Linked DNA regions of Tamandua tetradactyla. Each later gene encodes a partner of the first gene's protein in a complex. Links are inferred from orthologs where the notes say so. Each region holds a gene or a part of one and is shown in the gene's direction. Other genes may lie near its edges. The genes, in order: SF3B5, RBMX2, HTATSF1 and SF3A1.

What was found.
Region 2: SF3B5 (region 1) and RBMX2 share a complex: the UniProt entries of both Homo sapiens proteins name them as parts of the minor spliceosome. The link is inferred for Tamandua tetradactyla from reciprocal best matches to the Homo sapiens genes SF3B5 and RBMX2.
Region 3: SF3B5 (region 1) and HTATSF1 share a complex: the UniProt entries of both Homo sapiens proteins name them as parts of the 17S U2 SnRNP complex. The link is inferred for Tamandua tetradactyla from reciprocal best matches to the Homo sapiens genes SF3B5 and HTATSF1.
Region 4: SF3B5 (region 1) and SF3A1 share a complex: the UniProt entries of both Homo sapiens proteins name them as parts of the 17S U2 SnRNP complex. The link is inferred for Tamandua tetradactyla from reciprocal best matches to the Homo sapiens genes SF3B5 and SF3A1.

What each region holds. Positions count from the first base shown.
Region 1 is NC_135351.1:43,423,177-43,428,892, reverse strand, and holds SF3B5 (splicing factor 3B subunit 5), read left to right. Parts: upstream 1-4,539; 5' UTR 4,540-4,676; coding exon 4,677-4,937; 3' UTR 4,938-5,201; downstream 5,202-5,716. UniProt on the Homo sapiens protein: Component of the 17S U2 SnRNP complex of the spliceosome, a large ribonucleoprotein complex that removes introns from transcribed pre-mRNAs.
Region 2 is NC_135353.1:33,109,267-33,116,717, reverse strand, and holds the start of RBMX2 (RNA-binding motif protein, X-linked 2), read left to right. Parts: upstream 1-4,446; 5' UTR 4,447-4,519; coding exon 4,520-4,524; intron 4,525-4,730; coding exon 4,731-4,846; intron 4,847-6,213; coding exon 6,214-6,265; intron 6,266-7,451. UniProt on the Homo sapiens protein: Involved in pre-mRNA splicing as component of the activated spliceosome. As a component of the minor spliceosome, involved in the splicing of U12-type introns in pre-mRNAs.
Region 3 is NC_135353.1:22,881,498-22,889,188, reverse strand, and holds the start of HTATSF1 (17S U2 SnRNP complex component HTATSF1), read left to right. Parts: upstream 1-4,684; 5' UTR 4,685-4,755; intron 4,756-4,932; 5' UTR 4,933-5,001; coding exon 5,002-5,187; intron 5,188-6,985; coding exon 6,986-7,166; intron 7,167-7,691. UniProt on the Homo sapiens protein: Component of the 17S U2 SnRNP complex of the spliceosome, a large ribonucleoprotein complex that removes introns from transcribed pre-mRNAs.
Region 4 is NC_135331.1:32,555,010-32,562,948, forward strand, and holds the start of SF3A1 (splicing factor 3A subunit 1), read left to right. Parts: upstream 1-4,922; 5' UTR 4,923-5,063; coding exon 5,064-5,126; exon of another isoform or gene 5,127-5,218; intron 5,219-7,939. UniProt on the Homo sapiens protein: Component of the 17S U2 SnRNP complex of the spliceosome, a large ribonucleoprotein complex that removes introns from transcribed pre-mRNAs.

The sequences.
Region 1 (5,716 bases):
GAAGGAATTTTATTCTTGGAGATGCTGGAAAAAGATACCTGGGTCTTGTGAATTACTTAAAATATGCTGGAGAGGAATAAAACTGAAGGATGTTTTTCTTAGAAAACTATCGTTTGTGAGATTTATCTAACCAGAAATTTGAAGATTTATTTAATAAGGTAGTCCTTGCTTTGCATAGTTCCAATATGCGTGAACATCTGGCGCTACAGTTAAGTTAGATGACACCAGGCTGCCAAAAATGCAGTCAAAATTTCAGTTACCACAGTGCTATGAACAGCTGCATTACGCAAAGACTTTGTGCTCTTCTGTCTATAAATCATTACGCAAATAACAAATGTGCATCATGATCGATGACAAATCACATAATTTCTTCAGTCTGCTTTGGTCACTGGGCATCTGTTACCCAATTCACGTACAAGCAACAAAGTGTGCAGACGCACAGCCTTGTTGTCTCCCAGTGATAAGCTTAGTGACATTTTACAAAAATGGATGACAGAAAGAGGGAATTGGTCAAGGTGAAAAGATGATGGGGCAATGAAGAAATGCAAAGTGATGATGCTGGAAGTGAAATTGTATGTGATCAGAATATTTGAAAGTGGTGACAGCAAAGCCAAGATAGGAAGACACCCAGCCCTGCAGGAAGCTACAGTATGAACCAGATTGAAAAAACCCAGTGAATGCAGAAAAACAAGGTAAAGTAACTTTAACATCTTCTGGCATAAACTGCACATAGGAACAGCAAGTCTCTCATGGTGAAATGGAGGGTTTACTTCAACTCTGGATGGAAGACTGTAGTGAAAAACAAATCCCAATCAGTTTGACTAGCATTCAGGCCAAAACGTTGAAGGTAGTTGCTACATTGAAAGAAAATGTTTTTTACAAGGAGACCGAAAAGGACATTTTACTGTCAGAAAAGGCTGGTTTCATCATTTCAGAAGTCAGCCTAAACTGATGAATATTAAGCTATCTGGCGAAGCTGTGGGTTCAGATAAAGATGCTGTGGTGAAATTCAGCCTCAGATCCCAAGTGTTACAGTTAATCCTTGTTTTGCGCAGTGGTGCAGGGTAGTACTGTAGGAAACTTTTACAGGATTCAAATGGAATGGAAATGGAGTTACAGAAGGTACAGCCGACTGTGGGAATGTCGACACTGCTGCTGCTCAAGAGACTTTAGATGTGCAACCAGAGGAACTTCATGAAGGTGACTTGTAGACATAAATGAAGAAAGTGGTTGTGATTAAAAGGATAAAGATGTCTCAGAGGAAGTGATTCTGGCAAGAAACTTCATAGGAAAGGAACTCTTAAAGACATTTCATGACATTGAAAGTGCAAAGGATAAAATTTTGCATGCTCATCTAAACTTAGGAGAATTACAATTTGCCATGTCATAGAAAAGAGGGTAGCTCCACATCGTAAGTTATATGATGAGAAGACAAGCACTGTTAAAACCACTGTTGATAAATTTACAAAGAAATAAAATTTTAATTCTCAAAAAAAAAAAAAAAAAAATACCCAGGGCTCCAAGACTCTATAAAGCTTCACTTACTAAGTTTATTTTTCAGAAATCTGAAACCTCCAGATGGTTCCAAGCCAGATAAGCCCTGAAACCCGGAGTTATTAGTCTTTCCAACAGCATCAACCAGTTGTATCCCCTACCCATAATGTCGACATCCCTTTTCAGCATGGAGAAGTTAGAATGGTCATTGCCCAAATATTCCTAAAGAATGGGAGCCAGATCAAAGAAGAAGGAGGAGTTGCAATAGGGAACCTAGAATTTAACAAATGAGTATTACTACTAAATCATTATACTGATATTTTTTAGTCTCCAGTGTCTTAGAGTAGCTAGACGGAAATACCTGAAATGGTAGAACTGTAACCCATACCAAACTTTGAAATTCGTTCTAAAACTACTTGTTAAAATGTACTGGGGAATTTATTGCTTTTGCATATATGTTATATTTCACAATAAAAAATTATATATATATATATAAAAGACTAACCAAGACATTTATGAAAGAAGAAAACTGTGAGGGCTTGGCCCCTATTTTATTACCTGATACAAAATATCTTTTATTGCCTTATCTTACAAAATAGCAAGACCCTCCACCTGTGCCAATGGACCAGAATGCCCTGGCACAAACCCACACATATATAAAAGAAGCATTAAAGATGATCAGAGAACAGGTGAACTGTTTAGTGAATCATTAGTTATTACAGGGACTGGCTACCCATAGGGGGAAAAATTAAAAATTCGATCCTTAAAATAAGTCAAATCTCCAGGTGGACTCATCTTAAATATGAAAACGCAGAATTTTAAAATTTTTAGAAGAAAATAGAGACTATTTCAATGGTCCCAGTGCAGAAAAGAGTTTTCCTTAATTTGGTTTAAACCAAATACAAAAAGCCCAAACCATAAAGGAAGACTGATAAATCTGACTAAATTTAAGAACTTCTATATAACAAAAATTTCTTTACATTTTCTGTAAAAAAAGACACCATAGTGGGCAGGCCGCGATGGCTCAGCAGGAAGCGTTCTCACTTGCTATGCCAGGGACCCGGGTTCGATTCCTGTTGCGTAACCATGTAAAAAAAAAAAAAAAAGGACACCATAAAGGACCACATACTTTCGTCACCCATAACTTGCAAGCCTGATATTCTGGTTATTTAAAGATCTCCTAATAATTAGTAAGAAAAATACCATCATCCGATAGGAAAGTGGGCAAAGGAAAGGAAATGAACATGCAGTTCACAGAAGCAGAAATCCACGTGGATACAGTAAACATGTATGGAGATGCCCAGTCTTCCTTGTAATCAGGGACATGCTAATGAAAGCCACAACGAATTCCATTCTACGCATCAGATTTGCAAATTTAAAACGTCTCAGGGGCGCACGGGTTGTTCAGTGGTAGAATGCTCGTCTTTCATGCAGGAGACCTGGATTCGATTCACCGACCATGTACCCGCACCCCACCCAAAGTCTCAGGACACCACATGTCCGAAGAATGTGAAGGGACAGGGATTCTCATTCCGCGCACGGTAGACGCACTCTGGAGAGCACCTCGGCAGGATCCAGCAGAGCTTGCCAACACTCACGCCTGCGTCCCAGCAGGGCTAACCTCACGTGCAGGCCCAAGAGGTATGAGTCTCCATGAGAACATTCATCGCAGTTTTGTCTCTAACAACGAAAATCTGGAAATAATGTCCGTTCTTCAGAGTGGGCATACTGCACAACGGTATAAATGAACTAAAGGTATACATTGTATCCAAAGGATACTGAGGCGTGACTAAAGCAACATTTACAGCACATACAACGTGCCACTTACACGAAACCTTAAAACCTGCCTGACGGCACCACCCATTGCTCGTGGACACACTTTCAGCAAACGAGACAGGCTGAGGGATGGTGAACTCTAAGTCCCCGATAGCGTGGTGAGGCGAGCATACTAGGGAGGGGAAACACGGAGAATTGCAAGTTTATTTGTATCTAACAAAGAAAAAACAAAGTCGGGGGGAGGGGGGAATGACAAGGTTTGATAACTCTGCAAACCCACAGGTATTGTAAGGCTTGATTTAACCTATTACTGCCAACTTCCCAGAAAGATCATCACAATAATCTGCTGACGAAGCGAAGCCAAGTCTATCACTGCGGTACGTGAAGGGGGACCCCCACCGTGCAAAGGCTCCGCCGTGCAGAAAGGGGCGACCCGGGGGGACATTTATAGGGCTTGAATCTCTGCCCGCAGGAACGGAATGTTTACCGGCCTAACAGGCAGAACACGAATGCCCTAAAGGTCTCTACAACCCGCCCTCTTCAGCGGCGGTCCGGCTGTCCCTCCGACCCGAAGGTCCGGGGCGCGCGGAGGCCGCAGGCGCGCAGGCCCGACCGGGGAACTTCCCCAAACCCACACCGGGCGGCGAAGCGGCGGGAAGGAGGAGCCGCTCGCGCGAGGAGGCCGGGGCCGCCGCAGCTGTCTGGAGCGGGCAGGGCGGGCTTCCAGATGCTTTCGCGCTGAGCTAAGGGCGGGGGCGCGTGCCAAGGGGACCAGGGCGTTCCGGGCGCGGGAACGGCGCGTCCCGGGCGGGCTGCGCGCTGGGCGGCGGGGGCGGGCCGCGAGCGCGGGGAGGAGGCCCGACGTGGCGGGGAGGGGCCGCGGCGGCTCGGCGAGCAGGCCGGCAGCGCGAGGCCCCTCTCCCGGCCGCCTGTGGCCCCTCGTCTTGCGCCTCCCGTTCCCCGGGCCCACGGCCCCGGCCCACGAGGTGGCTCCCCGCCCGGCAGGCACCGCCCGCCATTAAGGTTCCGAGGCGACCCGGGCCCGGCCTTCCCCAGGCGTCTGCGCGCGCAGGCCCGCGGCGCTCGCGAGTCCCCGGATGCAGGCACCCTCAGGCCGCCACGAAGCCCATCATGCCACGCGACGGGGGGCGGGGCTGTCCCGAGAGGGGCGGGGCGGTGGCTTCGTGGCCTAGGCAACCCCAATTTGGTGCCGGAACACGCTTCCGCTTCCGCCTCGGAGACCTGTGGCCGGCAGGCCACGCGGCGGCGGCGGCGCCGTGACGCCATCGCCTTGCGACTGTGCGCGCCGACGAGCTCCCAGCCGACTTCCACCCGGCGCGAAGCTTCGGAGCGGCCGCTGCTGCTCGTCCGCAGTCCCTGGCCCGGAGCAGAGGGAAGACGGCGACATGACGGACCGCTACACCATCCACAGCCAGCTGGAGCACCTGCAGTCCAAGTACATCGGCACGGGCCACGCCGACACCACCAAGTGGGAGTGGCTGGTGAACCAGCACCGGGACTCGTACTGCTCCTACATGGGCCACTTCGACCTGCTCAACTACTTCGCCATCGCCGAGAACGAGAGCAAGGCGCGAGTCCGCTTCAACTTGATGGAGAAGATGCTGCAGCCGTGCGGGCCGCCGGCCGACAAGCCCGAGGAGAACTGAGCCCCGCCGGGCCGCCGCCTCCGGGGCCGCCGCGCACGCCCCCCTTGCGCACTGGCGCCTTCCGGGGACGTCCCTCACGCCCCGCCGTCCTGGGGACCCTTCGGAGCACCGCTCCGGGGCCGGCGGGACCCCTGAGCACTGGGGCCGTGGGGAGAGCCTAGAGCCGGCCAGCGTGATGCAAGGCGGCTGCGATTTGGAAGTTCGTTTTGTGACTGGTCGATTGTCGTCTTGCTTTTCACCATAAAGTTTAGAAATTGTTCTGTTTCTTGGTGTGGAATCCTTGTGTTCGAGCGGAGCGGTCCTGGGAAGGCTTGGGGGCTGACGTTTCTTTGGGCGTCCCAACAGGAGACGGCCGGCGTCGCGGGGCCAGCCTTCCCTGCCTGACGCTTAAATCCTTCCGGCCCCAGCTTTACCATATTCCCCCATCCCGAATTTTCCCAAGCCTTTTTTTCCTTCTGATCAGGCCCACAATGCCTTAAGGCATTTCCCTCCCCTGTTGAAAGTCTTTGCTGTGGTTGCCCTCTCTGCTCGCTGTCCAGCGCCACCCCTCATTCTCGTGGGACTTTGTGGCTATGCTTTCAGGACTGACAAGCTGCCATACAAGTTCGTTCTTCACTCCACGTTCACCAAATATGTGTTGAGGTCTATGTCGCATTTTCCCCAGGCTCTTGGGGCTTCCGTCATACTGGTGGGATTGAGATATTGGGGTTAGGGGGTGGGGGACCAGATAAACTATAGACATAAGCAAATATTGGAAGATGAGAGGGGGATGGGGAGGT
Region 2 (7,451 bases), on another chromosome or scaffold:
AGATGTGAAGCCTGGCGTGGGAGCAGAGAGAGAAAGGACTGGAGAATAGGAGCTGGGGGGAGTATAAGAGTATTTAAAGAGCTCGGAGGGGCCAAGGACTGGGCTGGACCTGCACAGGGATTGCAGCCACTCCTACAGCTACTTGCTGCTTGTTGCTGTTACCAGGTCCTGCTGTAGTGTGGTGCTGGAGCGCAGGAAGGCCCAGGAGTGCCTGAGTTTGGAGAAAGCAGAACTGTTGGATTTGGGGGATGAAAGGGTGGACCCAGCCAGCTTGGAGGTACAGACTGACCATGGCCTGTGCTGCCAGATCTGCTATCAGTACCAGATGCTCATCAACTCCATCCAAAAAAAAAAAAAATGCCAGTGACAAACTAACAGAGGTCCTTGAAGAGGCCAACACTCTGTTTAATGGAGTATCCTGTGCAAGAGAAGCAGTTCCAGATGCTTCTTCTTTTGGCTTCAGATTTGGGAAAAGAGAAAGCAACGTAGCTGCGCTCTGATCTCAATTCCTTTGATATGTTAAGATATGCTGAACTCCATTGGCACAAATGGGTGTAAATCTGCTAGAAGCTGAAGAACTCATCCGTGATGAAGATAGTTCTGATTTTGAACTCATAGTCTATGACTCCTAGAAAATATCAGGCAAAACAGCAGAAAACACCTTTAATAAAACCTGTATATTCCACTTTCTGTTGGGTTCAAAACAAGGAGAGCTACCTGTACCAAAGGCAAACATCTATTATCCAAAGAAAGTTTGCATGATAGAAGAGAAAGAGAGCATTGCCAGCCCAGTTAAAAAGAATGGAAAAATCTCATCAAGAAGCAACAGAAAAAGAAGTGGAAAGAATCTTGAGATTGTTGCAAACCTATTTTCGAGAAGATCCTGATACACCAATCTCATCAAGAAGCATAGAATAAAGAAGTGGAAAGAATCTTGGGATTTTTGCAAACCTATTTTTGAGAAGATCCTGATACAACTATGGCATTCTTTGACTTTGTGGTTGATCCACATTCATTTCCTGTACAGCAGAAAACATCTTTCATATTGCTTTCATTCTAAGGGATGGTTTTGCAAGATAAGACTTAACCAAGACTGACTGCCCCAATAATAGAGCCTGTTAATATTAATGAAGAAAGTGAGGGAATTGACCAAAACACCCAGATTAGGAATCAAGGAATTATAGCTTTGATTTACCAGGACTGGGATGAGACTGTGAAGATCTTTGAGATTTCAGAGACTGCAACTGCCTCTGTTCAGAGATGGCAGAGACTAAGAGTTTGATGCCAGCTGAAGAACTCAAATGGATGGAAAACAGCATGTATTGCATATATTGTATGAGAAAAACATTTTTTAAACTTTTTTTATTGTATAATACGACATATATACAAAGCAAAAAAAGAAAAAAAGCAATAGTTTTCAAAGCACTTTTCAACAGGTAGTTAGAGGACAGATCCAAGAGTTTGTCATGGGCTATCATGCCATCCTCTCAGATTTTTCTTTTTAGCTGCTCCAGAATATAGGAGGCTAGAAGGAATACATATTTTTTTTTATCATCACAATTGACTTGTTTTTTGTAAAAAATAACTTATATACAAAAAAGCAATAAATTTCAAAGCACAACACAACAATTAGATGTAGAACACATTTCAGAGTTTGGTATGGGTTACAATTCCACAATTTTAGGTTTTTATTTTTTGCTGCTCTAAGATATTGGAGACTAAAGGAAATATCAATAGAATGATTCAGCGATCAAATTTGTTTGTTAAACCCTACCTTCTCCACTATCACCTTTGATCTTTCTATCCCACTCTTTAGGGGTATTTGGGCTTTGCCTATTCTAACTTTTTCATGTTGGAAGGGGCTGTCAATAATATGGGGTAGGGAGATGGAACTAGCTGTTGTTCTGGAGAGGCTGGGCCCTCTAGGTTTCAGGACTTATCTTGTCCAGGGACCAATCTGGAGGTTGTAGGGTTCTGGAAAGTTACCCTAGTGCATGCAACCTTTGTAGAATCTTATATATTGCCCTAGGTGTTCTTTAGGATTGGCTGGGAATGGTTTTGGTTGGGAAGTTATGATAGGTAGCAAGGTCTAAATAATAGGTAACAATGTCTAACTTCCAGAGTAGCCTCTTAACTTTATTTGAACTCTCTCAGACACTGATACTTTATTAGTGTATAAGTAAACATTTTTTAAGATATTATTTTTAGTAAAATGCAGATTTTGATAGCTAAAAATAAAGAGCTAGGAGGTATGTGATAATGACTTCGAGTAAGATGATAACTGGAAATGATGCATTTTATAGATACTGCAGTGGTACAATTTTTAGGACTTGGTGAATAATTGGATGGTTTTCTCGGGGTGAGAAAAAGTGAATGCTGAAACGTGACACCCATGGTTTTGATAAAAATGATGTTAGTGTTGCCCAAACTATGGAAGTCAGGAGGAAAAGCTGCTTCTGAGTGTGGTGTGATTTGGGGAAGTGGAGAGATAACTTTGGCTAGCCAAATTGTTTAGTCCTTCCTTGCATTTGTTTAGTCCTGCCTTTTGCTTTCTTAGCATTGCCTGCCAAACCTAGATCTGAGCTCTGCATACAATAGGTGTTACATGAATGTTATTGGTGGAGATCACCAATCGCAACCTTGGATGGCAAACCCTGGTCCTCCTTGTGTCCTCCTCTGGACCTCTGCCCCCTTTTATCTCTGACTTATGGAAATCTCCAGGCATTATTTTACAATATTTTCTACTAACTGGAAGCATATCCATGGAGAATCTAACACGGCTTTTTTACCTATTTCAGGCTCTCCTCGGGTGATCAACCCTCCCAATGTGCTCTGGATTTTCAAATTTTACCACTGAAAGTCCTCACTCCTGGGCAAACCAGGATGGTTATCAGCTCTCCCAGCTTCAGAACACACTGCTGAATCCACCACCTCAAGAGCAACAGTCTTCTTATGTTCTCCTCAATCTTAATTGTTCTTCCCTTTGGTTGGTCTCAACCCTACTCTTGGGTTCCAGCTTCTTTTTAAATGTGGATGAGTGAGCCCCAGGTGTACCCCCAGCATTCTCAATTCATAGTTACTTTAAGAAGCCAACCAGATAATGCTGCATGCTAGCTTACCACTTTGCAGCGGCTACTTCAACACTACAACTAAGCAACCTGAGATTTCCAGGAGCAGATAAAACCCACATGCAATCTGTCATTGTTTAGTTTTCATTGCCAAGGTAATCCTACAAAGTTAATGAATAGCTGAGTGGAGATAGACACAGAATGAATGAGTAGACACTATCATAAGTAGGCAGCCTCTGTTCTGTTGCTTGGCAGTAAATGTGTACATGGTGAACCACTTGAGGGTAGAGTTCTCAAAATCATCATCATCGATAAAATGTTTTTATAAAGGGCCTAATTTCTGTGGCTCAGAGCTAGGCTTACACAGAAAACTACATAGCTCTGGATCTTCACTTTTAAAACATCATGGTTCAAGACCAGTCACTGATTTGGAGACATGCAAGATGGATTCAAACCTTCATGGTTTATATACCACCATCCCTTCTACTGGGTCCTAGATATTTCTGGAATGACCTCTATTAGGCAAATATATCTTATCACCTCAATTACATTATTAGCTCCTTGGGGGCAATAGGGCTAGCCTCATAACTCCTAGCTACAGGTTCTAGTTGTACAGGACAGATAAAGGTGATAGGCAAGGACTGATTAAGTCAACCTGACCGGATGGGCAGAGTCGGAGTCTCTTTCAAGCTAATTCCTTTGAACCTCGGTTTCTTCATCTATAAAATGGAGATGGTAATTGTATCTACTTCATGGGGTTGTTGTGAGAATTGACAGACAATACATGTTAATTGCTTAGCACATAACCTGGCATTGGTTATCACATTATCTGCTCAAATGTTAGCTATTAATTTGGCTTAAGTAGAAGAGGCCATGGAAAAGGATGAGCGTAGCAGCTCTCACAAATTTGGGATATTCAATTTAGCACAGTCGGTTGCTTATGTATTGGGATTTGAGGGACGACAAAAGATTTACTCACTCACATATATCCTACATTTTTGTGCCATAACTTCTAAACATGATGAGTATGTGGGTGTGACTCCTGGGAGTGAGGACCCGAGCGGGACCTCGGAAGGCGAACCTGGAGTGGGACAAAAGTCGCCACATCAGGCATCTTCTTCATTCAGTAAACATTTAAGACCAACCCAACCAGTGCGAGGTATGATCCAGGAGCTGGGGACCCTGTAATAGACCAGACTCACACCCTTGTCTCATTTCACTGAGGGAAGGAGGAGGGACTAGAAAAAACTTTCTTTTCTCTTACTAGAAGAGACAGGGACACCGAGCGAAGGAAACCTTTTCCACGCTTGTGCGCAGGCGCTGCACGTCGGCGCGCCCTCTTCCGCCGCACGCTCCGCCGACTCCAATGGGCTGCGGCGCCGGGACTGCGCATGCGCCTTGCAGCTTCGCCCGGACGCTAACGCCCAGGTTGTAAGCTCCGAGCCGCGGAGATGAAGTAAGGCGGTACCTTCCTTCTGAGGAAGCGGGATCGGACTTCCGTGGGTGGCCTTCGAGGGCTGGGGCGGTCGAGCGTCTGCGGTTCCAAGGAGAGGGAGAGGCGTGGTAACTGGAGAGTCTAGTGCCCTAGTTTTGCCTTCCCTTAGGCTGGGCCGCACTTACTTGTCTCCTTTTCCGCACTCCCCCCCCCCGCCCCCCCCGCAGCGCCTTAACCAAGGTGAAGTTAATCAACGAACTGAATGAGCGGGAGGTCCAGCTTGGGGTGGCGGATAACGTGTCCTGGCACTCCGAGTACAAGGACAGCGCATGGATCTTCCTAGGTACGGGCCACATCCTTCTCCCCTGTGTTCCTCAGCTTCTGGCCGGTTTCCTAACGCCTTCGCTCTGCTCCTCTCCACATCCATCACCCGCTTTTATCCATCTGCTATCCACCCTTAAACCCGTTTTCCATACCTTTTTTTCCTCGATACTCACGGGAGTTACTATTCCTGTTATCTGTTCTCTGTGCTAAAAACCTTGTACGGGACTTCTTGAGATCCCCCCACCCCCCCATATACTGTTGAAACTGAGGCGCAAAGAAGTTAACCGAAAAATTTTAAACAACATAGCTAGTAAATCGAAACTATGGAATTCTGAAACTCAAAAGTCTTAAACTTAGCTACTATCCTATATTACTACTAACCCCACTCCTTAGATTTTATTCTACTCATCTGATTAGCTGCTGCCTTCTGTCCATGGCCGTATTGCCATCCCTTATATTCACTTGTGTTGTAACCGATAATTCTGTACTTTGTTCAGAGAGATTATTTATTGCACCAGGGATTGTGCTAAGCACTCTATGTGCATTGTTTTATTTAATTCTTATAACAAGTTCATGAGGTAAGTACTAATATCCCCATTTCACAGATAAAGAAAGCAACATTTGAAGTGAAATTTGTTTCCTATGAAATGGTTGACGGTTGTTTTTCTAATCCTTAGTCTGTGTGGGTGGGATTAATATTAACATTGACTGGATTATAGATTTTAGCTATAAATTTGTGGGTAAAGAGCAGATGAATCCAAGATATGTTTGTGGAAGCAGAGTTTTGTGCTGTAAACTATCTGCTTTGTCTACGATTTTGCGTGTGAGGAGGACTGAGTGATCAGTTTAGCTTGGTTAATGATGACCCTGGTCTTTGCACACAGAGCTAATCACTCTATTTTCTGTACTACTTCTGCACCTTAAGTATACCTCTGTCATTGTATCAGACCGTGAGTTCTTCGAAGGCAGAGCCTGTGGCTCACTCTTCTTTACACCCTTTTTTTTTTTATTATTTTTAACTTTTTTATTGTATAGTATAACACATATACAAAGCAAAGAAATAAAAAAGCAATAGTTTTCAAAGCACTCTTCAACAAGTAGTTACAGGACAGATCCCAGAGTTTGTCATGGACTACCATATGATCCTCTCATATTTTTCCTTCTAGCTGCTCCAGAATACAGGAGGCTAGAGGGCTTAAATATTTTTTTTTTATCATCACAATTGACTTTTTTTTCCTTCTTTTTTTTTGTAAAAAATAACATGTATATAAAAAAGCTATAAATTTCAAAGCACTTCTTTACACCCTTAATGTCTGACCTAGTGCAGGGTCTGTAGTACACATTTGAGAAATGTCTGTTGAACTGAAATGTGGTTTCCTCTTCTAGGAGGACTTCCTTATGAACTGACTGAAGGAGACATCATCTGTGTGTTCTCACAGTAAGTTCCCTTAAATTTTTTGCTTCCTGGGTGGACAGAGTAGTTTGCTTCCATAATACATTTTATGGCATCACAAAAGCCATTTATTTGAATTTTAGTGGGGAGCACTAGGGCTTTTGCTCTAGTCTAGAGCAGTCCCAGGACATTTGATTTTAGGATTCTCCCCTGTAGATGATGTTAGTGGTTGAATAATTTGGGGGGCTATCTTGGGGAATTACAGTAAATTTCTATCGCTTTTTCACTGAGGTGTGTTCAGCCTGGGCCTACACTGGAATAGACTGGAACTGCCAGGAAGATACCATGTTGGACCCATCTCCTTGGCATCCTGTAAATTGGGGATAATCCATGATCACAGGGCCCTTCCGGGCCCACACTCGTGTGGCATTGTAGGATTAGGAGCAAAGCATGGAGGAATTGGGGGAAAATGTGAAAGGTTTAGATGGTGGTTTGCTTTCTTTGTTTCTAGACGAGTGTAGGGTTAAGGAACAAAGCTGATCTCTTTACCCACAGGCTGATGAGAGAAAGAATGAATAGGAGAACCTTATATTCTTCATTTTGCTATGAGATGGTAGCAGCAGCAACTGTGGGAGAGGGTGTGTGCAGCTCACACTAGTAGTGTCAGTGAGTATGAAAGGGTTGGGCAGCTCACACACAAACCCAGAGCTAAAGAGAGTGGTTAGACAGTCCACAGGGCCAGAGAGCCTTTGCAGCTCACAGAAGCAGAGACCCACGGCCTGTGGATTGTGTAGCCCTCTGGGGCTAAGAGCCTTTGCAGAGAGGTTGGACGACATGACGGAGGACCTTGGCAAAAGGGGCTGAGCAAGCAAACACAGGCAGCATAACCTGGTGGAGGAATTGCCGTATCAGGACAGTTGGGCTGTCCCTTAGGCAGAGGTCCATGGCAGAGCAGTTGGGCAACTTATGGGGCAGCAGGCTTTGGCCAGATCATTGGGTGGCAATATAGGGCAGAAGGCCATGGGAAAGGATTGGGCAGTGCACATGAGATAAAGACCATGCCAGGGGGCCTGGGCAGCCTACATAGGCAGAGAGCCCTGGCTAGGACTGAGGCTGCTTTCTTCAGCTTTGGGGCTTCGGGAAGTTCATGGCAGGTGCAGCCTATAATTTCTACCTCTTTGTGTGGTAGTACATCAGACTTTCATCTTGAATTGAGTGGTGATCAGCCAGT
Region 3 (7,691 bases), on another chromosome or scaffold:
TGAAGACACATTACGTCTAGAAAGACACGTTGGTATGTGCTAGTGGGTTGTGAGGGAGATCAAATAGGAGGGACGGTGAACGGAATAAATGAGATGAAGATTAAAAATCGAATTTATTTCCACCACCTCTGTGATGCTTCTAATTTCTCATATACTCATGTGATTTGCCTACAATTGTGTTTGTGTTTATTATGTAGTGCGAATCTAGAGATTATACTTTGCTAAAAAGAAAAGATCTTTACAGAATGACTATTCATCTCTATTTTACTATAACTAAATTTGTGCGATTAAAATGAAAATACTTGGGGGTCGGCAAGTATAAAGTACTAAGAATCCGGGGTGGAGTTCTTGCTTTAATGGGCAACACTTACTAACTCAATGCAGTCCTACTTACAACTGCCAGTGATTGATAATGAGGCAAAGTTATTTTTTCACAAACATTGTGAAGAACTTGCCTTATTCACAGTCAGAATAAGTGACCACGTACACGGTGGAATTTGAGGGCCCTTGAGAAGTACCCCCATCTAAAAATCTTCAAGCCTGCCCCAGTGTCTGAACGTCCTTTATGAGAATTCATTTCTCTCTGGCAAGCAGTGCCCTCTTTCTTAAAAAATGCAGAAGTGCCACATGAAATACCTAATACCTAGGTGTGCAGTCGTTATCATATCATCTTCCTGCTCAACTCTATTAACCCAATGTGTGCCTAAGTCCCGTAGGAGTATGGCCTAATCTGCCCTTGGAAATCAGATGGAAGGTTCTGATTTTCTATCCTTAGCTCCTACTTGCTAACACTATAAGCTTCTTAATGATTATTTCAAACAACTATTGTCAACAGACATGTCAGACTTAGATTTGTGTTACTTTCAGAAAGTGTTTTGTTGGGGCAAATTAAAGCATACACTTGGTATAATTGTTAATACTGTATTTTTAAAAACTTGATTGTTGGGCGTGCTTTTGGTAGTTTTGCGTTTTAAATGGCTTGTGTAACTGTGAACTTTCGTTAATCCTGTGGCTCAAAAGGGGGATATATATTAACACTAGACTTTAAATTTCTGTAAAACTGGTTTACTTAAAGTGGAGGTGCCTATATTGTATTATTATTGTTTCAAAATGGACACTGTAATAAGTGGGGGGAGAGGGACAAAATAAATATGAAATAAAGTTTTGAATGACTTTCTGTAACTTTCTATTCTAAAAACAATACTTCTGAAAGAATATAACTGACCACCCATTTTAGTTTCAAAATTCAAATTATATTCGAGTCACAGTATGCAAAAATATATTCATTATTTTCCTCACTCAGAGTAAAAGTGTACATCTTCATTCCCCTAGGTGTGACATTTTAGAAATAAAAGCTTGATAATACCAGATTACAAAAGCCAAGACAACCTTTTAGCAGCTGATAAAAATGGAGCTCAAAGAACTTTCTTCATTCTCAGTGTTCCCTAAGTGACTTAGGGATCTGATTTAAAATAATTCCCTAAGTGATTTTATAGGGCATCAGCTTCCCATCCAAAGTTGGGGGGTCGCATTTAAAATTCATGGTTTTGTTTTGTCGATTTTGGGGGAATGGGGTTGGTTGGGTTTTTGTTGTTGTTCTTGTTTTTAACAGATTATCCTTGTCAGGGCTAACCTTGCAAACAGGCTCCAATCTACAAAATTTCTTTTACATTGCCTATTGTGGCACCATTTCCCTGGAGAAGGTCCTAAATGGAGAAGACGTGGGCTTCATGAGAAACAAATTTAATGTGCTTCTCAGTTTTGCTCAAGGTCTTCCCTGACCCAAGGCTTTGAATAATGGAACATAATAATACACTACAAAGCATGAAAACAAGGTCACAAAGTTAGGTATAATCAATTCGTTCAGTGAGCCAGTCCCTAACATTGAACTTGAAAGCATTGCAAAACATTTACCACTGACATACATGCTGAGAATAGCAAATTTAGGTTTAAATACTTTGTGCAGTTTTAACCATTTTAGGTCAAGGGTCCTCCAAATTTTTTGTTTCAGAAGGAGTTACTTTCATTTCCACTAAATTTTGGGATTACAGGAAGTGGGGACAGAAAAATTCCTGAACAGAATGGGCTTAACAGCACCACTAAAAAAAAAAGTCTAGTTTGGTAAGTTCAGTAATTTCCCAGAGACAGTTCCTAGGCCAGATAGGTGATTTTTTCAACCAGCCGTCTCTGCTTTTGTAGATTAATGCATTTTTTTATCCACCAAGAAGGCTGTAGCCTACAGGACTGGAGTACCACACAAATCACCCTTGAAAACTTAGAGAAAAAAGAAGAAAGCAGATATTCAGAGAAAAGCAGACTGTCTGGGTTTCAATTTGTTCCTCTTCCTGGGTCCAGTAGCCCCTTGAAGAGGCCAATCTACATTCCAGTCTTTGAGTTTCAGCTCCCCTCTCAGCCGCCCCCCTCCCCACCTCGCCTTTTGCTTGTTAACCTTGAATACTTCTCAGACTTGGAGAAAAATGTTGAGAAAGAAAGGTTGCAAAGACAGATTACATCACTTACTAGGGAGTTATTCTACAATACACAGGGAAATAAGAACAAACAGGAACCACGCCACAAAATGCTAACGTTAGAAATGCAACTGTCAGTTCTCATTGCCATACAGAACGTCATTGCAGGTACAAGTGTACTTAGTTCCCAACCCCACTGCCCTGTTACTATGGGGTCTCAGTGACCCTCTGTTGTTGCTTTGACTTTTCCTCTCACTTCTAGGGGAAATTCTGAACAGCAGGCCTCCTGTACTCATTTCAGCCTTCCCTGTGGGTATCTCAGCTTCTGTGCTACCCTGACAACATCCCTCTCCGTATGTTTCATGCTCAAACTCCCTGAGAGAGAACCGTATTGGCTCAGTCAAATATAGCCTAGAATGCAGAGCTACCCAGCTAGATGAACTCACAGGCCCCTAGCCAGCCCTTGGGCTATGGCAGCTGGGTTACATGGGAACTAGGCATATGGAACCTTTTTGGCTACCTGCTGAGAACGGGGCTGTGGGCACAGCACGCACTCAGAGCTTCACGTGCAGTAGAGCTATGCACAATATCAGCACCTACCATTAAACTCAGGAATGAAATGGGAGCCCAATAACACATTGCTGAAAACAGCTGTATACTATTTTTGAATCCAGGAAGAAATATTTAGCAATGTTTAAATGAGTCTAACAAACCTCGTGTTATCTATATAATAAAAATGTATGCAAACAGGAATTTTATGAAAAAGAAATATAATTGAAAAAATCAAACTGCTAGTTTAAAACTTTGCTATGGTTGAAACCATAGATTCACACGACTGTTATATGCAGGGATGCAGGATTTTCTAGAATCCACACTCAGCTGTTATGTTTAGAAGCAAAGGTCAGTGGAATACTAGAAATAATTTCTTCTGGGAAGACTTTCCTCACCCTCAAGTCTGGGTTATATTTATGCTTACACACAATGGGTTTATTATTATTTTTAAATGAATCAATAGATATTTAAAAAATGTTTTCAGCAAACATTGACAAATACAATCCACATAAACAAAATCTCTCTGGGGTCCTCAATAGTTTTTTAGTGTAAAGGGGTTCTGAGATGAAAATTTTGAGAAACGCTGTTCTCCAGCGTCTGGTACTTTCAAGATAACATTTACCAACCAACATAAGCCTGTCTTCCCTAAGCAGTGCCCGTCCTGTTAACCCCTGGGTCCCCAGGGGCGAGTCAGGTGCCTGGCGCCTCGTACGAGTTCAGTAACTATTTGCCCAATTAAAAATTCGTATTTGCACCACTTAAGATGGGCTCACCATTTTCAGGGGGAAAAAAGGTTGTTTAGAGCAAAGCGTACTGCGTCTTTCTAAAAGAAAGCCAAAATTACAGTTGGCTACTAAAGCTGATACTGACGCTTGGATGTTCGTTCAAGTTTCATGTTTTGGCCCTGAGCACTCCTGAATCCTGGAGAACAAGATACAAGCAACTGCAGCCCCGCCTCAGTTTCCCAGAGTTTATCTCCAGCAGGAAAAAGGTAAGATCAGATAAAGGAGGTGACTGAGAAGTGGAAAGGAGGTTGGTCCTTCCACCCATCGTTCATTCGTTCATTCACTCACTCGACATGGATTAGGCACCAATACCCTGGCGCTAGGCGCCTGGAATACCAAGATGACAAGAGCAGGCGCCTAGGCTGGGGAAATAATAAATAAATAAAAGACACGACTAGGTGGGAGGGAAAGGCCTCTGGGCGAAAGGGTTACGATTTTTTCCCACTGCGAAAGTAGCCGGTCCTGCCCGCCCCGCCCACTTCTCCAAGATGGCGCCCGCCTAGGAGGAATATTCCCACGCCTTCTGGGAACCACGCGAGCCGACCCACCCGGCAGCCGGCTGAGATTCCGAGGTCTTGCGGGAGCCGCGCGGCCACCCCCGGCCCAGAGGCGGGCCCAGTGGGCGTCCACGCGCGGGCGCAGCGCACTCCCTGGCGCCCCGCCCCCCCGCGCCCAAGACCCCACGCCGTGCCCGCACGCCTGCGCGTCGGCGCATGTGGACGCCGCCTGGGGGCGTGTCGGCGCGAACCGCGACGTCGCGACGCGCCCACAATGGCGACTGCGTCAGGCTGAGCGGGGCCCCGTTTTGAAGCAATTTCCTGACGTTGCCGCGGGAGCCGCGGTCGCCTCAGACCCGCTCCGTGGCGGCAGCGGCGGCGGCGGTGGCGCGCGCGCGCTTCCGCCGCGCCCTGGACAGAGCCGCGGCGCCGAGGCCCGGCGGAGTGAACCAGGTGGGCGGCGGCGTGACCGAGCTGGGAGCATCAGCGCGCGCGGGCTGGAGGCCGGGCAGAGCTGGGGGCGGCGCGGCCACCTAGGGGGCACCCGTCTCCCGGGGGCTGCTGGGCGCCGGGGGCGGGGTGGGGCGGCCGTGCGCGGGCCACCGGGGCGGACCTCTCTTTCTCTACTAGCCTCCAGCGTCATCTCGCTTCGCGGCCTCTTCACTCGCTTGGACCCTGCCGCTGGGCTAGGTAGGAAACATGAGCGGCAACAACTTGGATGGGAACGACGAGTTTGATGAGCAGTTGCGAATGCAAGAATTGTACGGGGACAGCAAGGACGGCAGTAACCAAGAAGATCCTGGCGAAGAAACTGAGGCTTGCGAGCAGCAGCCGGCCGACACCCCCTACGAGTGGGATTTGGACAAGAAGGCTTGGTTCCCCAAGGTAATAAAGTGGCACCGGCGCCACTGCAGAGTGGGCCCGCCTGGCCAGCCTTACGGGGCACTTCTTTTACATTTTCTTTACTGAGTGAGAACTTTGGTTTTAGCCCCCGTGGATAGTGACGTTTCGTTTTGTTGTTGTCTATTGCAGAACCGATGTGTAGAGGAACGTAATCTTTAGGGAAATGTCTTAAATGTAATTAAATCTCTTCTCTGCCTTACTAATTTTATCGGTGGAGGTCACAGTTGGTTACTACATCCGTGACTGCTTTTTATTGCAAAGAGGAAAAATACCAAGAACAGATACAGTAGCTGTTCATCTCTCGTTGCTACCCTCACTTATCCTGGGAATTCACATTTTTAGTTTATGTACCATGCGCAAAATGCAATTCTTGATTTAAGGAAAAAGATAGCCGTTTATGTATCTTTATTGATTGGACTGTCTGCACCGCTCTTTTCTACTAAATTTGGCCCCTAGGTTTGGACTCTCTGATGCATGTAACTGCAGAACTGTGACAAGAGATGCACAGAATATGGATGGCAAAGATCTGTCTATATGTGTTTGGAATACTTGGAAATTATTAGGTGTTTTATTTAAGCTTGGAAGAAAAATACTAGTCTTCAGCTTGATTCTGTAAGCATGGCGGTGAAAGTACTATGTTAACCTGAGTCTCATGGGTAGGAAAAAAAAAATAGAAATAGCACTCTGGCAAGCCAATAATAAAAAACATGTCTCCATTGTGTAATTTGACTTATTTAATAAAATTTATTTAAATTTTTTTTCTTTTCCATTTTGTATTTGTGTATATGTACCGATTTTTACCAACTGTTAAATTACTTTTTCACTTCTATACTGATAGTGCTGGCTGGAGTGCAGATGTGGTTTTTTCAGCCTTCTGAGAAGTACTTTTTTTTAAATGCGTAGGCAGGTACCGGGAATCGAACCCGGGTCTCTGGCATGGCAGGCAAGAATTCTGCCACTGAGCCACTGTTGCACTGCTCTGAGTAGTACTTTTAACAGTAATCTGATAATGAATTAATTTGTAACTCTATCTTTGGTATTTTATGCTATGAAAGCCTGTATCTTTTCAAACTTTGAGTTTAAATTTTCCCTATTCCTTTGTGTGCCTAACATTGACTGGTATGAAGATACAAGTACAATTCTTTCATTGTGTTTTTATATCCCCTAAAGGCACGGTACATAGATGTGAGTTGGGTTTGTCCTTAATTTATTCTGCCGCTAAATGATAATGTGATTTAATTAGTGATAGAGTTAAAGTGAGCATATAGTTTTGCAATTGTTAGTTTTATTTCTATTCATTGAATCAGGATTCCAGTCTACGTGCTTTCTGCATACAAATATTTAAATACTTAGAATATACATGTATTTGTGCATCTTTATAGTAACATAAATTGATTTTATGGTTAGATTATTAGTTGTCTCTCGATTTTTATCCTATTGTTATCTGGTACTTCATTATATGTACTTGTAGCTTTGTTTAAGTAGATGTTCTAATTTATAAATGAAACAATATTAAAGGTATTAACTTCACTTAAAAGTATCTTAATGTTTTCTCACATGCTTGTTTTTGCTATCCAAGGGCCTGTGCCTTATTTTTTTTCAGTTTATGCAGTTTCCCTATATAAGATGACAAATTTTGCATTTATACTTTAAGTGTCACAGAAACACTTCTATGTTAATTTGTATAACTGAATATGCTGTGATTTAATATAGTTTAGACTTTGTGTGGGAGGAAGTAATTTTGCATTTCTTATGTGTATGTGCTGAATCTCTTGTTCAGATTACTGAAGATTTCATTGCAACATATCAGGCCAATTATGGCTTCTCTAATAATGGCGCCTCTAGCTCTACTGCAACTGTACAAGATATGAGTGCTAGGACTGCAGAGGAACCTTCACAAAAAAAGGCCCCTGAACCCACTGATCCCAAAAAGAGGGGAGAAAAAAGAAAGGCTGATTCAGGCAAGTGTTTCTAGTTTGCAAAAAAACATGAGTTTCAAAGTAAAAATGTACATGTATATATAGTTAATTTTTGGGAGAATTTGTGGTAGCTTTGAAGGAATAATAAGAAGTGTTGTTTTTTTTAAGATAGCGTCATGATCCAGCCCCTTCCAACATGAAAAAGTTAGAAGGGCCGTAGCCCAAATATACTCCTAAAGAGAGGAATAGAAAGATGAAAGTTGATGGTGGAGTTACACAGAGAAGTTAGGATTTTCTAAATGAATATGATTGCTGAATTATTAAATTGATATGACTTTTAGTCACCATTATGTTAGAGCAGCTAGAAGTAAAAACCTCAAATTTTGGAATTGTAACCCATACCAAACTCTGAAATATGTTCTACAGCTAATGTGGCAGTGTACTTTGAATTTTATTACTTTTTTGTATTTATGTTATTTTTCACAAAACAGAAAAAAAGTTTGATTGTCATGATAAAAAAATATATTTATTCCTTCTAGCCTCCTGTATTCTGGAAAAATCCTTTCT
Region 4 (7,939 bases), on another chromosome or scaffold:
CAACCTCCCTTTTCTCAGAAAATGGTACCACCACTGGGTACACTGTGGCTCAACCCTAAGTCCAGCACTTCCGTGAAATCCCTTTCCATCACTCCCATGTCCAAGCACCAAGTGCTGCTGTTTCTGTGTCCAGGCTACATGGAGAACCACCCATTCCTCTCCATGAACTCTAATGCAGCCTCCCTGAGGTGCCACCTGCACCTCTTCCCCTCACAATCCCCATGCACTCTGATTAAGCAGCTGAATGGATTATTTAAAAAGGCACCTCAGGGCGGGCCGCGGTGGCTCAGCGGGCAAAGTGCTTGCCTGCTATGCCGGAGGACCTCGGTTCGATTCCCGGCCCCAGCCCATGTAACAAAAACGGAGAAACAGAATACAAGAAAATGTTTAAAAATGTTTCCCTTTCTTCCTTCCTTCCTTCCTTCTATCCTTCCTTCCTTCTCTGTCTTTCCTTTAAAAAAAAAAAAAAAAAAAAAAAAAAAAAAAAAAAAAAGGCACCTCACAGCCAGTCATCCCCTGGCTTACAGGTTTCTATGGCCTCTCAGCCCGGTGTGGTCTGCCCCCACCCAGCACCTCACCACCCAGAGTGTGCTCCATCCTCAGGCTTAGTCTTTAGAAACATCCCTCGGAGCTCGACCCAGTATCTCCTTCTTAGGCAAGCTCCCCTAGTACCCCAGATAGGTCAGGTCTTCTGTTACAATTCTCAGATCATCCCTTTCTTTTCCTTTCCAGGACATATCACCTGTGGAACTAAATCATTATTTGAGGAGTTATTTGTGGTGGTTGGTCTGTCTCCTCTGCAAGTACATGGACCATGTCTTCTGAGTTCACTGTAGTATATGACCCAGCTGCTTGGCTGGTAGGTGCTGGGAAGCTTCATGGCTCCTGGGGTGGTTTATAAGGGCTGAGCTGGCATCTCTGACCTCCCAGAGCATGGGGCCCTGCCCTCACCTCTGCACAGGTGCCTGCTGCAGGGCTAGAACTGGAGTGTCTGAATTTTCCAACCCTTGGGCTGGTCTGTGGGCTCCGGGGCTCAGCACCAGAGGTTCATTGGAGTGCCAGCTTCCTTTCTCCAATGCAGAAACCGGACTGAAGCAGCTGTTTAGTTCCTGGGAATGGAGAGTGAGAGGGCAGTCAGGGAGGGCTTCCTGGGGGCCAGGAGCAGGCTGTCCAGAAGGTGAAGGGGAGGGTGTTCCAGGCTAGAAGAATGGGGTGATGGGAGACCCTTGTCTTGAGGCTGAGCACAGAGGACATGCTTCAGCCAGGTGAGCTTTGACTGAAGGGCCTACTCCGTGCCAATCCCTGAATGCTTACAACAAGCAAAAGAAGGCGGGGTTATTGGCTCCTTCACAAATGAGGAGGCTGAGGCCCCAGGAAGTTATGGGGCTAGCCCAAGGTCACTCAGGAAGCTGGGATTCTGAGTCCAGTATCTCTGTTCTTAGTCCATGCAGCTTCTAGAGCAGCACTATCGAAAGAAATATAATGTGAGCTATGGGTGAACTTTTTTAAAACATTTTTTACTATGAAACATAACAAATATACAGAAAAGTAATAAACTTCTAAGTACAAGTTATAGAACAAATTTCAAGTGGTTCCAGTTCCACAATTTCAAGTATTTCCTTCTGGCTGTTCTAATACACTAGAAACTACAAAGAAATCTCTATATAATGATTTAGTAATCACAATCCTTTGTTAAATCTCAATTCTCTGTTATTAACTCCTCCCTCTCATTTGATCATTCCCCTGATTTTCAGGGATATTTTGGCAAAGATCATTCTAACTTCTTCATGTTGAAAAGGGATGTCGAACCTTATGGGGTAGGGGATGCAAATGGTTGATATTCCGGGAGAGGCTGGTACCTCTAGGTTTCAGGCACAGGAACAATTGGGAGGTTTTATGTTTCTGAAAAATAAATTTAATAAGTAAAACTTTTATAGAGTCATAGATAGAATCTTGGGTTTTCTTTACGGTTTTCAGGAATACTCTTGGTTGGGTCTTGGGACACCATGGAAATTTATAACATCTGGCTGAAGCTTGTATAAGAGTAACCTCCAGAACGACTTCTCAACTCTATTTAAAATCTCTTATATAGGCGGGGTTTTAAATTTTCTACTAGCCACATTAAAAAAATAAAAAGAAAACAGGTAAGTTAATTTTGATGGTGCATTCTAGTTAACTTAATAACCAATAAAGCATTATCATTTCAACATGAAATCAATAAAAAATTATTAAGGAGATAATTCACATTCTTTTTTTGTACTGTCTCACTGACAGCATATCTCAATTCAAGCCAGCAACCATTTCAAATTTCCCATAGCCACACAGGTCAGCAGCTAACATATTGGACACTGCAAGTGTATATGAGATTCATATTCATTCAGCAAGCATTGCCTGAGTACCTACTACATGCTGGAAACTAGGGATGAAGCAGGTACATGGAGCTTTGGCCTCAAAGAGATACCATCTCTGTCTGAGGGTCCTGCTGTAGCAAGTCTTGGGTCTATGAGCTCCATAGGCTCCATCACCAAGGAAGGGAAATGCATATCCACCCCATAGCACACATGAACATACTCTCCTATAGCACCGGCCTACACCCCACACACAGTGGTACTGGAGTGCTGACTTGGCGACAGCCTCTTGTGAGATACTGTTGCCCATAAGATTTCATGTCCCCCAAGGAGTGAAGTATAAGGAACAAACAGGAAAGAAAGAAAAAAAAAACAGACTGAAACGTTCTATGTTTCCTTCCTGGGATGTAGGAGGAAAGAGATAAATGAAGCAAGCAGAAGGTCCCAATCTAGATGGAGGCGTATTCAGGTGCCAAGCACCTGGACTCATGGAGCTTCCTCATGGAAGACACCATTTTGTTCCACCTTCAAATAACTTCAGCTGCCATCCGGGGCCAATTGCAATACCAACTTCCATTAGATTTCAGTTCAGAGAAGCAGCATCAGTAGATGCAAAGCATCAAGAAGAATATACAAGAGGAAAATCTAACATTGAAAAATATACAAGGTAATTATATGGTTTCTTCTGAAAACTGGGGCTATGCAAATATAAGACTGGTTTGAGAATCACTTAGGTGTGTGTCAAGTGAGGGAGCATTTGACACGGTCTTTCTCTCTACCTGGGCCTGGAGTATAACTTTCAGCCCCAAACTGCCAACCATGCACTGTCCATGTGATGGCACAGAGGATGGACGCTTATGGAGTCAGCACTGCCACTAGGTAGGCAGAGCAGCTGACTCTGTCTCTCCTCGGGTTCAAGGTTGGCTTTTGCCTACCAGAGAACAGTAGGAGCTGTTCCCTCTTAGCCTACCCCCAGTGGTAAAGATTATGCCTCCCTCCTGGTCCAGTAGGCACACTAAGATTCAAGATCACCACCTTGAAAACACTTTGGATATGGACAGATGAGTAAAAAATATATATAAATAACATGGGGTGGATAATGGGTAAAAAAAAAATTGAGTAGATTGAAATCTCAGTGGTCGATGAAAGGGAGGAGTAAAGCTTATGGGATGTATGAGTTTTTTCTTTTTATTTCTTCTTCTGGAGTGATGCAAATGTTCTAAAAATTATGGTGATGAGTAACAATACGTGATGATATTGTGATCCACTGATTGTATACTTTGGATGAACTGTGCATGTGTGAAGACATCTCAATAAAAATATTTTTAAAAATGCAACTAATTGTTGAGGTATGCTTTGAAATGTATTGCTTTTTTGTATTATGTCATTTTGCAAAATAAAAAAAATTAAAAAAATAAACCTTGGAAACCCAAAAACCATCTAAATGGCAGTTAATCCATCTCAGACCCAGGGATTCTAATTGCCTGGATCCCTGGAGACACGGAAAGGAACTTGTGATGAAAACTGAATAGCTAACTGCACTACCAGAAGGGCCTGGGTTTGGAGCTCCATTCTGCCAACTCTGAACTTCACTGACCTCATCTGTGAACAGGTTGCTCTGAAGAATAAATGATACAATGCACGGAGTGTTTCCAACAGGTTCTGGCTCAGGGTAAATGCTCAATAAGTCCTAACTACCGTTATCATTCTACATCGACGACACAAGCCGAGTGTGTGTGTGTGTGTGTGTGTGTGTGTGTGTGTGTGTGTGCGCGCGCGCGCGCGCGCGTTCAAGAGGAAGCAGGTGTGGGAGAGCACCGCTTTCTATCAATAGGTGGAAAAAGTGAAGCTCAAGCACTGGCTTGGCAACCCCTCCCCACGCTCTGGAGCTAGGAGGGAGGGGAAAGGGGACAGGGATGAGGGCACTTGAGAAGGAAGCCGGGAGGGCGGGATTTGAGTGTGCCACAAGGGAGTGAGGGGCGGGGTATGCAGGGACGCACCAGTAGTTGTGATGGGGGCGGGGGGGGGGTGTCTAACGCAACCAAGAGACGGTCCAGTGGGGCCTGAGGGTGGGGCTATGGAAGGAAGAGGATTGAACCCAGAAAAGACAGGCCCGTGGGAATTAAGGGTGTGGGGGACTTGGAATAGGGTTGGGAGGAGCTGGAGGAGACGGACTTGAAGCGAATGAGGTGGTTAAGGGAAATGGGACTCTGAGAAGTGCCTGAGCGTAAGGGAGGGGACTCTCCAAAGTGAGAGGTCAATGGGAAGGGGCCTTGGGAGGCGGGGTCTAGGGAGAAGGAAACTGGCCTGAGACTAAAGGAGGGGGACCAGGGCCCCGGGGTGAGTGCCGGGGACATCCAGCGGGGTGCTGTAGAATATCTCACCCCTCTCGGAAGTCGCAGCCTCAGCCTGTGTCTGGCCGGCTCATGGAACTGCCCCCGGCGCGCCTGCGGCTTCCCTGGATGCGCAGCAACCCCTAGCCTGGCACCCGGACTGCTGCCATGGCAACGGCGTAGCGCGCGAGCTCGGCCCGAGGGGATGGGACCGGAACCTGGTGGGCGTGTCAGGAAGTGCGTCAGCCTTGCCTCCTCGGAGACGACCTGCTCGGCCGCCGCCATCTTGCTAGCTCGTCGTCCCGTCCGTGCGGGGATTCTGTTTTGACGCCACACTGTTCATCGACATCGAGGCGGACTGGCAGCCCTCAGCGTCGCAGTCATGCCGGCCGGACCCGTGCAGGCGGTGCCTCCTCCGCCGCCCGTGGCCGCCGAGCCCAAACAGGTACCGCGCCCCCCGCACCTCGATCGACAACCCGAGCCTAGGCCTGGACCCTCCCCTCCAGCGCGGGTTCTCCTCACTCATGCAGGAAGAAGCTGCCGCTGTGGAGGGCTTGGAGGGACTGCAAGTCCCAGGAGGCAGCGCGCTTCCTGCGCCGCGCTGCCTTCTGGTAGCGAAGAGGCCTCTTCTGAACGGTCATTGTCAAAGTGTGGCCCGCGGACTATCGGCCTCATCACCTGGGAGCTTGTTAGAAATGCCGAATCTCCGGCCCCTCCCCAGACCTTCTGAATAAGAATCTGTATTTTAACTAGGTTCCAAGGTGATTCATATGCACATTAAAGTTTGAGAAACACTGACCCAACCCCTGTCCCGGTTTTCTGCCCCTAGCTTTGCCCAGTAATTTCTGAGTTTCCAGCCTGCATAGTCCACATTTGAGTGTTAATTCTCAGCATCTCCTTGGTGTTTATTCTAAGCCAGCCGTCATGCCAACCTCCAAAGTTGCTGGAATGAAAGAAGCACAACCGCTGCCTTAGAAAACTCACCGACTAATGGAGGCAGACAGGCATGAATACTCAACAGATATTTGTCCCCATCTCGAAAATGATACGGTTCAGGCCGAACTTTAAAAGGCTCTCGATCAGCTGAGGGGGAAAGTTGTGTGTAAATAATTGTAGCGTGGAGTGATATACTGGGTAATGGAAGTATGTGGCCGGTATGAGAAGGTTATTTAATCGACATTGCTTTGATGGGGAGGTTAAAGTAGTGAAAGTTCATAGGAGTGTGAAATAAGTTGCTTTTAGAAGGATACATAAGAATTCACTGTGTAGATGATTGGGAAAGGGAAATACAATTTTTCATTCATTCAGCAAACAGTTGTTGCACACGTACTATATGCTGACCACTGCTTTCAGTTCAGAATACAACTGAAACACAACAGAAGAAGTCTATGCCTTTGGCATAAATAATTAAGTGCCTCTATGTCCCAGGCATTTTCCCAGGCACTGGGAAAGAATAAACAAGATAATATCTGATAACGATAAGCACAGAGGCACTTTGGAAGTGAGGTAGGAAGCAGATGATGCCTCTGGTCAAGAGTAAATCTAAGTTTTGTTGGAGCATAGGATGGGAAAGAGGAAGGTGGTGGTAGGAGATGGTATTCAGAGGATTTGACCTTTTTTCTTGTAGACAAGGGGTGAATAGGAAGGGTTTTAAGCAGGATAGTGACAAATTTGTGTTTTAGAAATTCAGATATTGGTGTGGAGAATTGCTAAGATGACAGAAGACAGTCCTTTTTTTTTAACTGCTGAAGACTTGGCTTAGATTTTGAGGAAGGGGGACGGGCAATCCCTTGTCACAGAGTACTCTTTCCAAATTCTGGCTCTGCCATTTGGGCCAATTAAGCTTTCCATGCCTCAGTTTGGTCACCTGTAAATGGGAAGTATAAGAACGCCTCCCTCATAGGCTGCTTATAAAGGTTACAAGAGTTAATGTATTTAAAATACTTAAGCATTGGGGACCTATTTTTGTGCCTAATAAATGTTAGCCGTTGTTATCCTTAGGGATTAGATGAGGAGGCTGACAAAGGGAGAGAAAGCCCAAGTGTCTGGCCAGGCCATTCAAAAGGAAAGGGTCCAGTGATGAAAGTGCTTAGGAGTCAGTTGGATTGAAAGCTCTGTGGCATGTAACTGCGATCTGGGCTAGGAGATTGCTTTGGGGGGATTGTTCAGCCTAGGTGTGATAGGGGAAATAGAAGATGTGGTTTGCTGACGACAGCAGGAATTCCATGAAGAGAACCAAGAACAAAATTTGGAGTCTTCAAAATTTAGAGGGCGGGAGGTGAAACAGGAGCCAGGAAGGAAACTTGGATAGGATGGGTGTTCTAGTTTGCAAGCTGCTGGAATGTGATATACCAGAAACAGAACGGCTTTTTAAAAGGGGAATTTATTAAGCTGCTAGTTTACAGTTCTAAGGCTGTGGAAATGTCAGATTAAGGCAAGGCTATGAAGATGTCCAGATTAAGGCACCAACAAGAGGTTACCTTCACTCAAAGAAGGCTGATGAAGTTCGGGGTTTCTATCTCAGCTGGAAGGACACGTGGCAAAGTCAGTTAGCTTTCTTTTCCTGCTTCATGTTTCAAGAAACTCTCCCGGGGGGTGTTTTCCTTTTTCACTGCCAAAGGTTTCTGGCTGCGTGGGCTCTGTGGCTCTTACACTTTTTCCAAAATGGTTCCCTCTTAAAAGGATCCGGTAAACAACCCTGAATAAGTGGTGACACAACTCCATGGAAACCATCTAATCAAAAGTTACCACCCACAATTGGGTGGGTCACATCTCCATGGATAATCAAAAAGCCCACCCAGTGATACTGAATGAGAATTAAAGGACCTGGCTTTTCTGGGGTACACAAAAAATTCAAACCAGCACAGATGGTCAGAAAGTAAAAAGGAAAGATGGGAAAAAATGGGGTCTGGGAGTTGAGTGGAGAGCTTTGCAAAGGAGTGATCACTGGTCAAATGCCCAGATAACTGTTATTTTTGGTTGAAGGCAGTTGTTTTTGACTTTGGTAAGAGCATGTGAAATGGATGGGGACCAAATGGGAGGTCAGGAAGTAGGAATGGCAAGACTGAGAGAACTCAGGATGTTTAGCTACCAGAGGAAGGGCAGGGGAAAGCTAGTAGCAGAAATGAACACAAAGGGAGGGGAGAAACTTATTTTTCTAAGATGAGGGACTTGACCCTTTATTTACGAAAAGGAAGCTAGTTGGGAAAGTATTAGGAATTTTTGGGTCACTTAATATGGATATTCCAATAGAGTCTC